2 linked regions of the Arabidopsis thaliana genome follow. The protein of the gene in region 2 interacts with the protein of the main gene of each other region in a pairwise test. Each region holds a gene or a part of one and is shown on either strand. Other genes may lie near its edges.

Region 1 (4,950 bases), on a different chromosome or scaffold from region 2:
TTCCCAGCTGTGGACAATGGTCTTCCATCTGTACTAGATTTTCCAGGAACCTCATGAGATCTGACAACACTAGCCTTATTTTCATCCGTTGTAGATATCGAAGATACCTTAGTGAGCAGTGTTTGACTAGGGGCAGCAGAAGCTTCCGATGGAATAGAACTATATGTAGAGGCTCCCTGCACAAAAAAAGAAAATGCAAGCATTAGCTAGCGAAGAAGACTAGAGGTAATCATGAACAAATCGCAAGTAGCAAACAAAGAAGATTAACGAAAAGGTATAAAGAACTCACCATCGTAACGCCACTGGTTGGATTCGTAGCCCCAGAACCCTCAGAGACTTGAGCATCTTTGTTCTCAACTTCAATAGCCACATCCTCAAACCTGCTCCTCCTCTCACCATTCCCATCAGCAAACCTAGATTTCTTCTTCCCATCCCTAGCCCCATTCTCTTCCTCTCTATCTTTCCTCTTGCTCCTCGATTCCTTCTCTTTACTACCTTCGTGAGACCTCTCATGGTGATGCTTTTCCCTATCTCTACTCCCTTCTCTCTCGCCTCGCTCTACAGATCTCCCTCTTCTATCCTTGGTCCTATCTCTCTCATCTTCCCTATCGCCGCGCCTCGATGAACGGTAGTGATCTGAATCACGACGCTTCGAATCAACATCGCGGTCACGGCGGCGTCCTCCTTCACGTTGTGGAGAATGGTCGGGACTCGAATCTCGATCACGATCGTCACGGTGGCTCCTGGAATATCTCTCCTTATCCATGGCAGAATTTAGGGTTTATTCCTAACAACAATTTGCTTCTGATTCGCCGGTCCTATAAATATACGAAAATTCACAACCGGAATAAACCAGCGATTCAGATTAGAACCAAAACGACCAGCGAAACCAAGTTCTGAATCAGATTTTTGTTCCTTCCGGAAAAATCCTAAAGGGAGCGAAACGATACCGGATCCGGAAGATATATAATCCAATCACCGGACTACAAGCTTCCCTTATGGGCTGAAGCCCATTTTTGAGTTCCTTCTTGAGATAGTTCTTCAATTTTGAGTCTAATGGGCTTTTATATCATCTTTTACTTAAAAAAAAAAAAATCGACGATTCATCTTCTATAGAGATATATGAAAATTCAAGCTATTTATCTTTAAAAAGAAAAATATTTGATGTCAGGTCGCAGTTTTCTTACAAGCAGAAATCCAAACTCTTCATACCAACTATTTTTGGAATAAACAAGATTTCTTTGCCAAGAGTTTTCATACCAACTATTTTTTGGATAAATAAGATTTCTTTGCCAAGAGATTTCCACAAGTTGACCACAAATTAAACATTCGATCAAAACTCAAGAATTCAAATATAGAAGTATATAACGCATATATTCCGCTTTGACTCAAAAAAGAAAAAACCCGCTCATATACTGTATTATGTATAGTCTGAATCACAAACTCTCTAACACGTGAAATTTAATGCGTTAGTCAAGAATCGTTCCGATTGTTACCACTCCCCAGGAACTTTTTCAAGATATTTATACCTCAGAATGATAGCACTTTACAAATAAGTTATACTTTTTTTCAAAACAAAAAAAAACAACTTATTGAAGTCTATGGACAAAAAGAAAATATCTAACATGAATCCTAAAATATCTTTACGATTTTAATTTTATCACATCTTTTGTCAAGAACTCGTGTGTAGCAGTTTATTATGCACATAAATATATGCTATACATTACGCTGCAATGTTCGTAAATACTAGTTCCAGAAAAAGACGATTCCAGCCGTTATTACACTGATCAAAAAGTTATTGCTATATACGGAAAGAATTAATCCCATAAAAATCATGTGCTTTGAACTAACTTTCCCTTTATACGTTAAAATAGATATTTAGGTGAAAAAGCAGATTAGATATTTTCTCTTAGATTCTCTGTCACAGTCAACGTAAGCTTCGCCGTCTGAACAATGGCGACTCTCTCAGCACGCTTTTACACCGTCAGATCTCAACATATCTCAATCTGAACAATCCATCATACACAAGTTCCATACATCGCAACACAGAAAAACAAATCCCTAACCCCAAACTGTTTACAATAATTAGCTTCGTTGTCTTCTTCATTCCAAAAGATTTGCAGATAATTTTGACAAAGCCCCCCAAAAAAAAAAAGAGTTCAAAATGAAAAACGTGAGAAATGGATTTGTCATCATTCTTCTCACCGTCCTTAGTCTCTGAAAATAAATTCTGATTTTGATTTCGAATTTTAGGGATTTTGAGAGAGAGTCAGTTATGAGTAGTTCGGAGAGAGTACCGTGCGATTTCTGCGGCGAGCGTACGGCGGTTTTGTTTTGTAGAGCCGATACGGCGAAGCTGTGTTTGCCTTGTGATCAGCAAGTTCACACGGCGAATCTGTTGTCGAGGAAGCACGTGCGATCTCAGATCTGCGATAATTGCGGTAACGAGCCAGTCTCTGTTCGGTGTTTCACCGATAATCTGATTTTGTGTCAGGAGTGTGATTGGGATGTTCACGGAAGTTGTTCAGTTTCCGATGCTCATGTTCGATCCGCCGTGGAAGGTTTTTCCGGTTGTCCATCGGCGTTGGAGCTTGCTGCTTTATGGGGACTTGATTTGGAGCAAGGGAGGAAAGATGAAGAGAATCAAGTTCCGATGATGGCGATGATGATGGATAATTTCGGGATGCAGTTGGATTCTTGGGTTTTGGGATCTAATGAATTGATTGTTCCCAGCGATACGACGTTTAAGAAGCGTGGATCTTGTGGATCTAGTTGTGGGAGGTATAAGCAGGTATTGTGTAAGCAGCTTGAGGAGTTGCTTAAGAGTGGTGTTGTCGGTGGTGATGGCGATGATGGTGATCGTGACCGTGATTGTGACCGTGAGGGTGCTTGTGATGGAGATGGAGATGGAGAAGCAGGAGAGGGGCTTATGGTTCCGGAGATGTCAGAGAGATTGAAATGGTCAAGAGATGTTGAGGAGATCAATGGTGGCGGAGGAGGAGGAGTTAACCAGCAGTGGAATGCTACTACTACTAATCCTAGTGGTGGCCAGAGTTCTCAGGTTTTGCTTATCTCTCTTTTGATTTTTTTGGCTAAGAACAGTTTAGTTTTTTCTGTTAATGAGCAAGTGAGATTAAGTGGTGAAATGTTTTTGTGTAAGGTCAAATATAGTCACTCTGTGTGGTTTTATGGTTTCTCAAGAAGATAAAAAAATGAAAGGTTTCTTAACCTGTGTTGTGAACTTGTATACAGATATGGGATTTTAACTTGGGACAGTCACGGGGACCTGAGGATACGAGTCGAGTGGAAGCTGCATATGTAGGGAAAGGTGCTGCTTCTTCATTCACAATCAACAATTTTGTTGACCATATGAATGAAACTTGTTCCACTAATGTGAAAGGTGTCAAAGAGATTAAAAAGGTAATAGTTCTCATTAACCTTAGTCATTTAAGTAGAGTAGTGTTTAAAACACAATACGTTGTCATCTCCCGTTCATCCTCAAAAATTGTTGTAGACAGTTGCTTCTTTTAGTGAATGATAGAATTCAGAACATGAAACCTAGTCAGAAAAAAGTTACAAGCTGGTTTGCTTTTCTTTGTTTTACCTCATCACCAAGCCACCAATTCTAACATTTTGGCTTATGATATATATTTGCTAGACTGCTATGCAACTTAACTGTGATGCTGATTAGGATTCTTTTGCAGGATGACTACAAGCGATCAACTTCAGGCCAGGTACAACCAACAAAATCTGAGAGCAACAATCGTCCAATTACCTTTGGCTCTGAGAAAGGTTCGAACTCCTCCAGTGACTTGCATTTCACAGAGCATATTGCTGGAACTAGTTGTAAGACCACAAGACTAGTTGCAACTAAGGCTGATCTGGAGCGGCTGGCTCAGAACAGAGGAGATGCAATGCAGCGTTACAAGGAAAAGAGGAAGACACGGAGGTAAATGCTGCTTTTTTCTTTCCCCTTTAATAATTTTTTATTGCCCATCTCCCTTAAAGAATCTGATACCATATTTCGTTTCTCCCTTTGTCTTGGATCTCGGGTGCCAACAGATATGATAAGACCATAAGGTATGAATCGAGGAAGGCAAGAGCTGACACTAGGTTGCGTGTCAGAGGCAGATTTGTGAAAGCTAGTGAAGCTCCTTACCCTTAACCTTAAGTCTCTTCACATAGGCTTCCTTTTAGCTACAAACTTAGTTACTTTTTTTACTTCCACTGCCTCATAAATGTACAGACCGGTCTCGTTTCATCTGGCCGCCCTTCTGTTTTATTGCCTTATCTGGCCCTTTTATGTACCTTGGAATCTTATCTAGTTTAAAAAAGATTGTAACCTTCTAGAAAACCATATTCTGTTGACAGTATATACATGTCTATCCAAGCATTTTGAAGTCTCACAAGCTAATACGCCTTGATACTCTTTGTTTTAAAAACCCTGACTTATGGCTGTTAATCAAAGTTTTCCAAGTCCAGTTCGCAGATGGCGAGCGGATCTGCGGCTGTGGTTCTTCGTTGCTGTTTCTTTGGTGGTTCTGGCTGTGTTGGCCAATTCAGAAGGTATAAATCTCCCTACTTAAAGAGTTACTCACAGGCGAAATTCCACAATCAGTTTATTCTAGTGTATAATACATGTAGTGGATGTTGTATAATGTTTATGCTTGAATGTCATATAGCTCTGCAGACGTGGGATCCGATGCAGGTGACAATTCTTCTTAAAAGACAACTAATTCTCTGACTTTCCTCTTAGTGACTATAAGAATAGACCAATTCTCTATTAAATTTTTCGTTTAACAATTCCCTCAATCAAGAATTCTCTTCTCTGTATTTCTCCTCTCCATCTTTATCTTACCTCTCCGAAACGCCTTGAACCCTCAAAAATGTCCTTCATCCTACTCGGATTCATATCTTAATAAATGTGAACCACTTGGAATCCCCATTCGT
Region 2 (3,725 bases):
AAGAGAGCTTGTATACGAAGCCCGTGACTTGATCCATTACTGAGTCTCAGCTTCGGGAATTGCGTTTTGGGTAGCGAATTACAAAACCAACACGAAGACTGGGAAGAAGTGGGCAGCGGAGATTTGAGGAGAGGCTTAGTCTGTAAATTGGGTGTGTGTGTTGAAGTGAAGAGAGCTTCCATGGTGGATGAGAATAAGATTTTGGTTGAAGAGTCTTCTGATCTTTCACTATAGGCAGATGCTTCAGGCGTCTTTGTTGAAAGTAGCTTTAGGAATTAGGACTTTTCCAGAGTAGGGTTTGTATAACACACACATACATATAAGGGTTTTTCTTTTTCTTTTGGCTTTTTTTTTATAGTTGGATTACGATTACTTTTGTCCTTAGGAATTACTTTTGATGTATTTTCTATTCTCTTTTGTTTTGTTTTGATGTTGATAATAACGAATTTTCCTTGAAATAAGAAAATCAGTTTCTTTTCAATTTACAATTTTTATTGATAATAACATAATATTCTAAGAAATTATCTTTGTTTAAAAAAATTGGGAAAGAAAAGATTTCAATTTCATCTCAAAAGAACCTGATAATGACTATTGGATTACCATTATTCCGTTTCTAAAATCTTCTTACTGTTGATTAAAAAAATTAAATCTCCTCTAAAGAAATATCTATCATCTCAATTGGTTCAGACCATTTTTAGTTTACGTTGAAAAGAAAGATCAAACAGATCAATGACACAAACTATAATTAAGGCACTAAACACTAAATGTCCTAATTTGCATAATGCGGGACCCATGTCAATAATATTTCTCAAACGTTGTCGTTTTCAGCCCATCCTTCCTCCGAATCCACGCGCCACCGTCTAAGCTGCTGCGTCATTGCACGCGCCAATTTGCTTTCAACCGCTCGAATCATCCCAGCTGAAACTCCAGTCACATCTTCTACTTTCTTTAAATTCTGCCACGTCGTCGTGTTCTTAACGCCGAACCAAAACGCCGCCGCTAAGAACACTCTCTTCGTCGCTCTTGGCCTCGTCTCCACAGCCAAAGCCAAAGACGCATATGAAACGACAGCGTTTGTTAAATCCCTGTTTAGTCCTAACTTACCACACCAATTTACAAAAATGCCATCCGCCACCGTAACCGCAACGGCCTTGGCATTCACTCTGTTTTCCCTCCCTCGCGCTCTGTTTACGTCACGCGTCGTTGACGATAGCTCGGAGCTTGAGACACAGTCAAGAGACGAGCAGCAAGAAGAAGACGACGATTCTGAACAACATGTTGTTCGTGGAGGCCAAGGAAGAAGAGGACCAGAAACGAAATTTTGAGTAAGAGATTTGCAATTTGGGCAGATGACACGCCGGAAATGACGAGCGAAGAGAAAATTTGAGGCATGGAACTTAGCGTCACAAGAACGGCAGAGGAAGGCAGAGTCCGCGGCACAATGGAGATCAGCTTCGGCACCACAAAGCTCGCAAAAGCTCACCATTGAGTCGATCTCTCTGATCACCAGAAAGAAGTGAGAGAGAATTGGTTTGGAATGATGATGGTGGGAAGAGAGATTTAAGGAAGAGATGTAAATGATTGAGGGAGAGAAAGAGCGGTGGAGTTTTTATGGTTCATGGTTGATGAGAGTAGTCTCTTCCACAGTTCACACATCAAAGAAACTTACATGAGCCATAATTTTTTAGGGAAATGAAATGAATGGTGTTTGTAGAATTGGAGAGAATGACGTGTCGTGAGGTTTTGAGGCTGGTGAGATTATGTGGTCATTTTTAAAACTATTACACTAGCCGCCAAGTCATTCGTCTTCCTTTTGGTGTGACGTGGAGATTTAGTCAACACTAATGTCTTTTCAGAGACTTGGTCTCATTGCAAATTGCTTCTTCTTCTTTTCTTGGTTGCTTCCATTACATTTCTTCTGCATTGTTGCAGTCTTTTATATAAACTTTTATACATTGATCTTTTGTCGAATACAAAACAGAAGATAATACTCTTAATTTATAATCTAAGGAGTAAGGATACAAAACACAAGGTGTAAACTGTGGTGAACCTGTTTGGGTTCTGATCCCAACTAGTACAACAATAGTCTATATCTTGAAATCTTTCCAAAAATGGTTTCTTAAATAAAAGGGTCTTTGAATAGCCAAGCTAAATCCAATTGCTCTGTTAAGATATATCCATAGAGCCCCTCCTACGAATCACACTGTGACCTCTCCAGGGAGTTTTACTTCTTTGTTATCCGACCATAATGCCTCTGGCGTATTCTAAATGCCGGTTTTCGTAGCAGTACTTTGTTGGATTGTTTGAGATTTACCTGATCGTTTCGAGACTTAATCTTAAGTGGATGAGCTTCGGTGTTGAATACCCACTCGTCTAAAGGAATGACTGTTGTCGGCGAGAAGAGTAGATAGAGATACTTGAGTGTCTCTGCAAGGAAGAAACTTTGCATCTTGTTGTCCTTAACGCCTGTATTAACCTGGAAATGATTGAAAGAAATAAGAATCTACCATCAGTTACACTCAATTACTAATATAGATGGTGGAATGATATAATTCAATTCACCAAGGTTTTAACAATGCAGGATCTAATTAAGCGCCTACGGAAAACTTACATCCTTCAAACCAACATATCCAGACTCTATGCGCGAGTTCTTCTCAAATGCTTCAAATATATTCCATCCCCACTCTTGATATGTCTTGTTTCCAGTTAACCGCCAGAGGTAAAACAGTGATTCGACAGTTTCTGGTCTCAAGATGTTCCACGACGTTCCAACACTCATGTCCTGAATCATCATGTATACTAAACAATAAATAACGCATAAAATAAACAATGTGTTTGAAAAAGACAGGCAAATGACATACACTCCCAGAGTTGAAGAAATAATTCTCCCCAGCCAGTTTTGTTGGAGTTGATTGGTAAAAGTTATAACATGTCCACGCAAGCTGCAAAATATGTGGAAAATAGCAATAAAGGCTATATCTCAGCAGCCTAAATCAGAAAAGCAGAGAGCGAAAAATTCGAAAGATCTGAAGCACTTACGACGCTATGATCAAAGATCATTCAAGTCATAAGTTTACCTCTTCAGCGAGTGTGAGAAACTTCTTTCCTTCAGCAGGATCACTATACCCAGATGCTCCTAAAGCCAACATTCCAGGAGCAAAGCATGCCAATTCATCCATCTTAATATATATGAGAAATAATGAGATTGGAAATGCCAGGCGATGAAGAATTTTCACGTAATACAATGGAAACAATGAACAGATGGGTTTACCTTATCGATCAAAGAATTTCCACTCTTCTCACAGATATATGTAAACGACAAAGGTGTTGATTTCTTAACCAAGCTTAGCAGACCATTCATTGACTTCTCCCACATATCTCTGATGCCAAGATGTCAAGTAATAACAGTACAAATTATTATTGTTCGGCTAAAGATGTTGAAACTAAAAGACCAGAAAAGAAAAGAAGAACATAGATATCAAGCAGAAAGATAAATGTGATGGCAGCTGGTTGAACTTAGCGGACTTGAATCAATCAGACATATATACACTCAGTAGACTAGAGTTAAACTTACCTATAGTGTTTCACTGCTGAAGTTTTGTTCCCAAACACCCAAACTTTGAGCAAATATTCGTAAAAGCTGTACACAAAATATTAGCCGTCACAAATCAAACCAAAGCAGAACCAGAAGGGATCAGACTAGCAGTAATATAAAATGCAATCAA

The links. The genes of interacting proteins can lie anywhere in the genome.
Region 1: the proteins of BBX32 (region 2) and BBX13 interact in binary tests that used the Arabidopsis thaliana proteins (3 or more experiments, as listed by UniProt).

The regions. Positions count from the first base shown.
Region 1 is NC_003070.9:9,774,983-9,779,932, reverse strand, and holds BBX13 (B-box type zinc finger protein with CCT domain-containing protein), read left to right. Parts: upstream 1-1,889; 5' UTR 1,890-2,275; coding exon 2,276-3,061; intron 3,062-3,252; coding exon 3,253-3,420; intron 3,421-3,704; coding exon 3,705-3,949; intron 3,950-4,062; coding exon 4,063-4,165; 3' UTR 4,166-4,411; downstream 4,412-4,950. Other genes in the region: AT1G28060 (Pre-mRNA-splicing factor 3), read right to left, coding at 1-176, 290-766.
Region 2 is NC_003074.8:7,411,905-7,415,629, forward strand, and holds BBX32 (B-box 32), read right to left. Parts: upstream 1,824-3,725; 5' UTR 1,487-1,823; coding exon 809-1,486; 3' UTR 541-808; downstream 1-540. Other genes in the region: AT3G21140 (Pyridoxamine 5'-phosphate oxidase family protein), read right to left, coding at 1-182; MNS2 (alpha-mannosidase 2), read right to left, coding at 2,225-2,476, 2,612-2,782, 2,862-2,942, 3,078-3,179, 3,272-3,380, 3,575-3,640.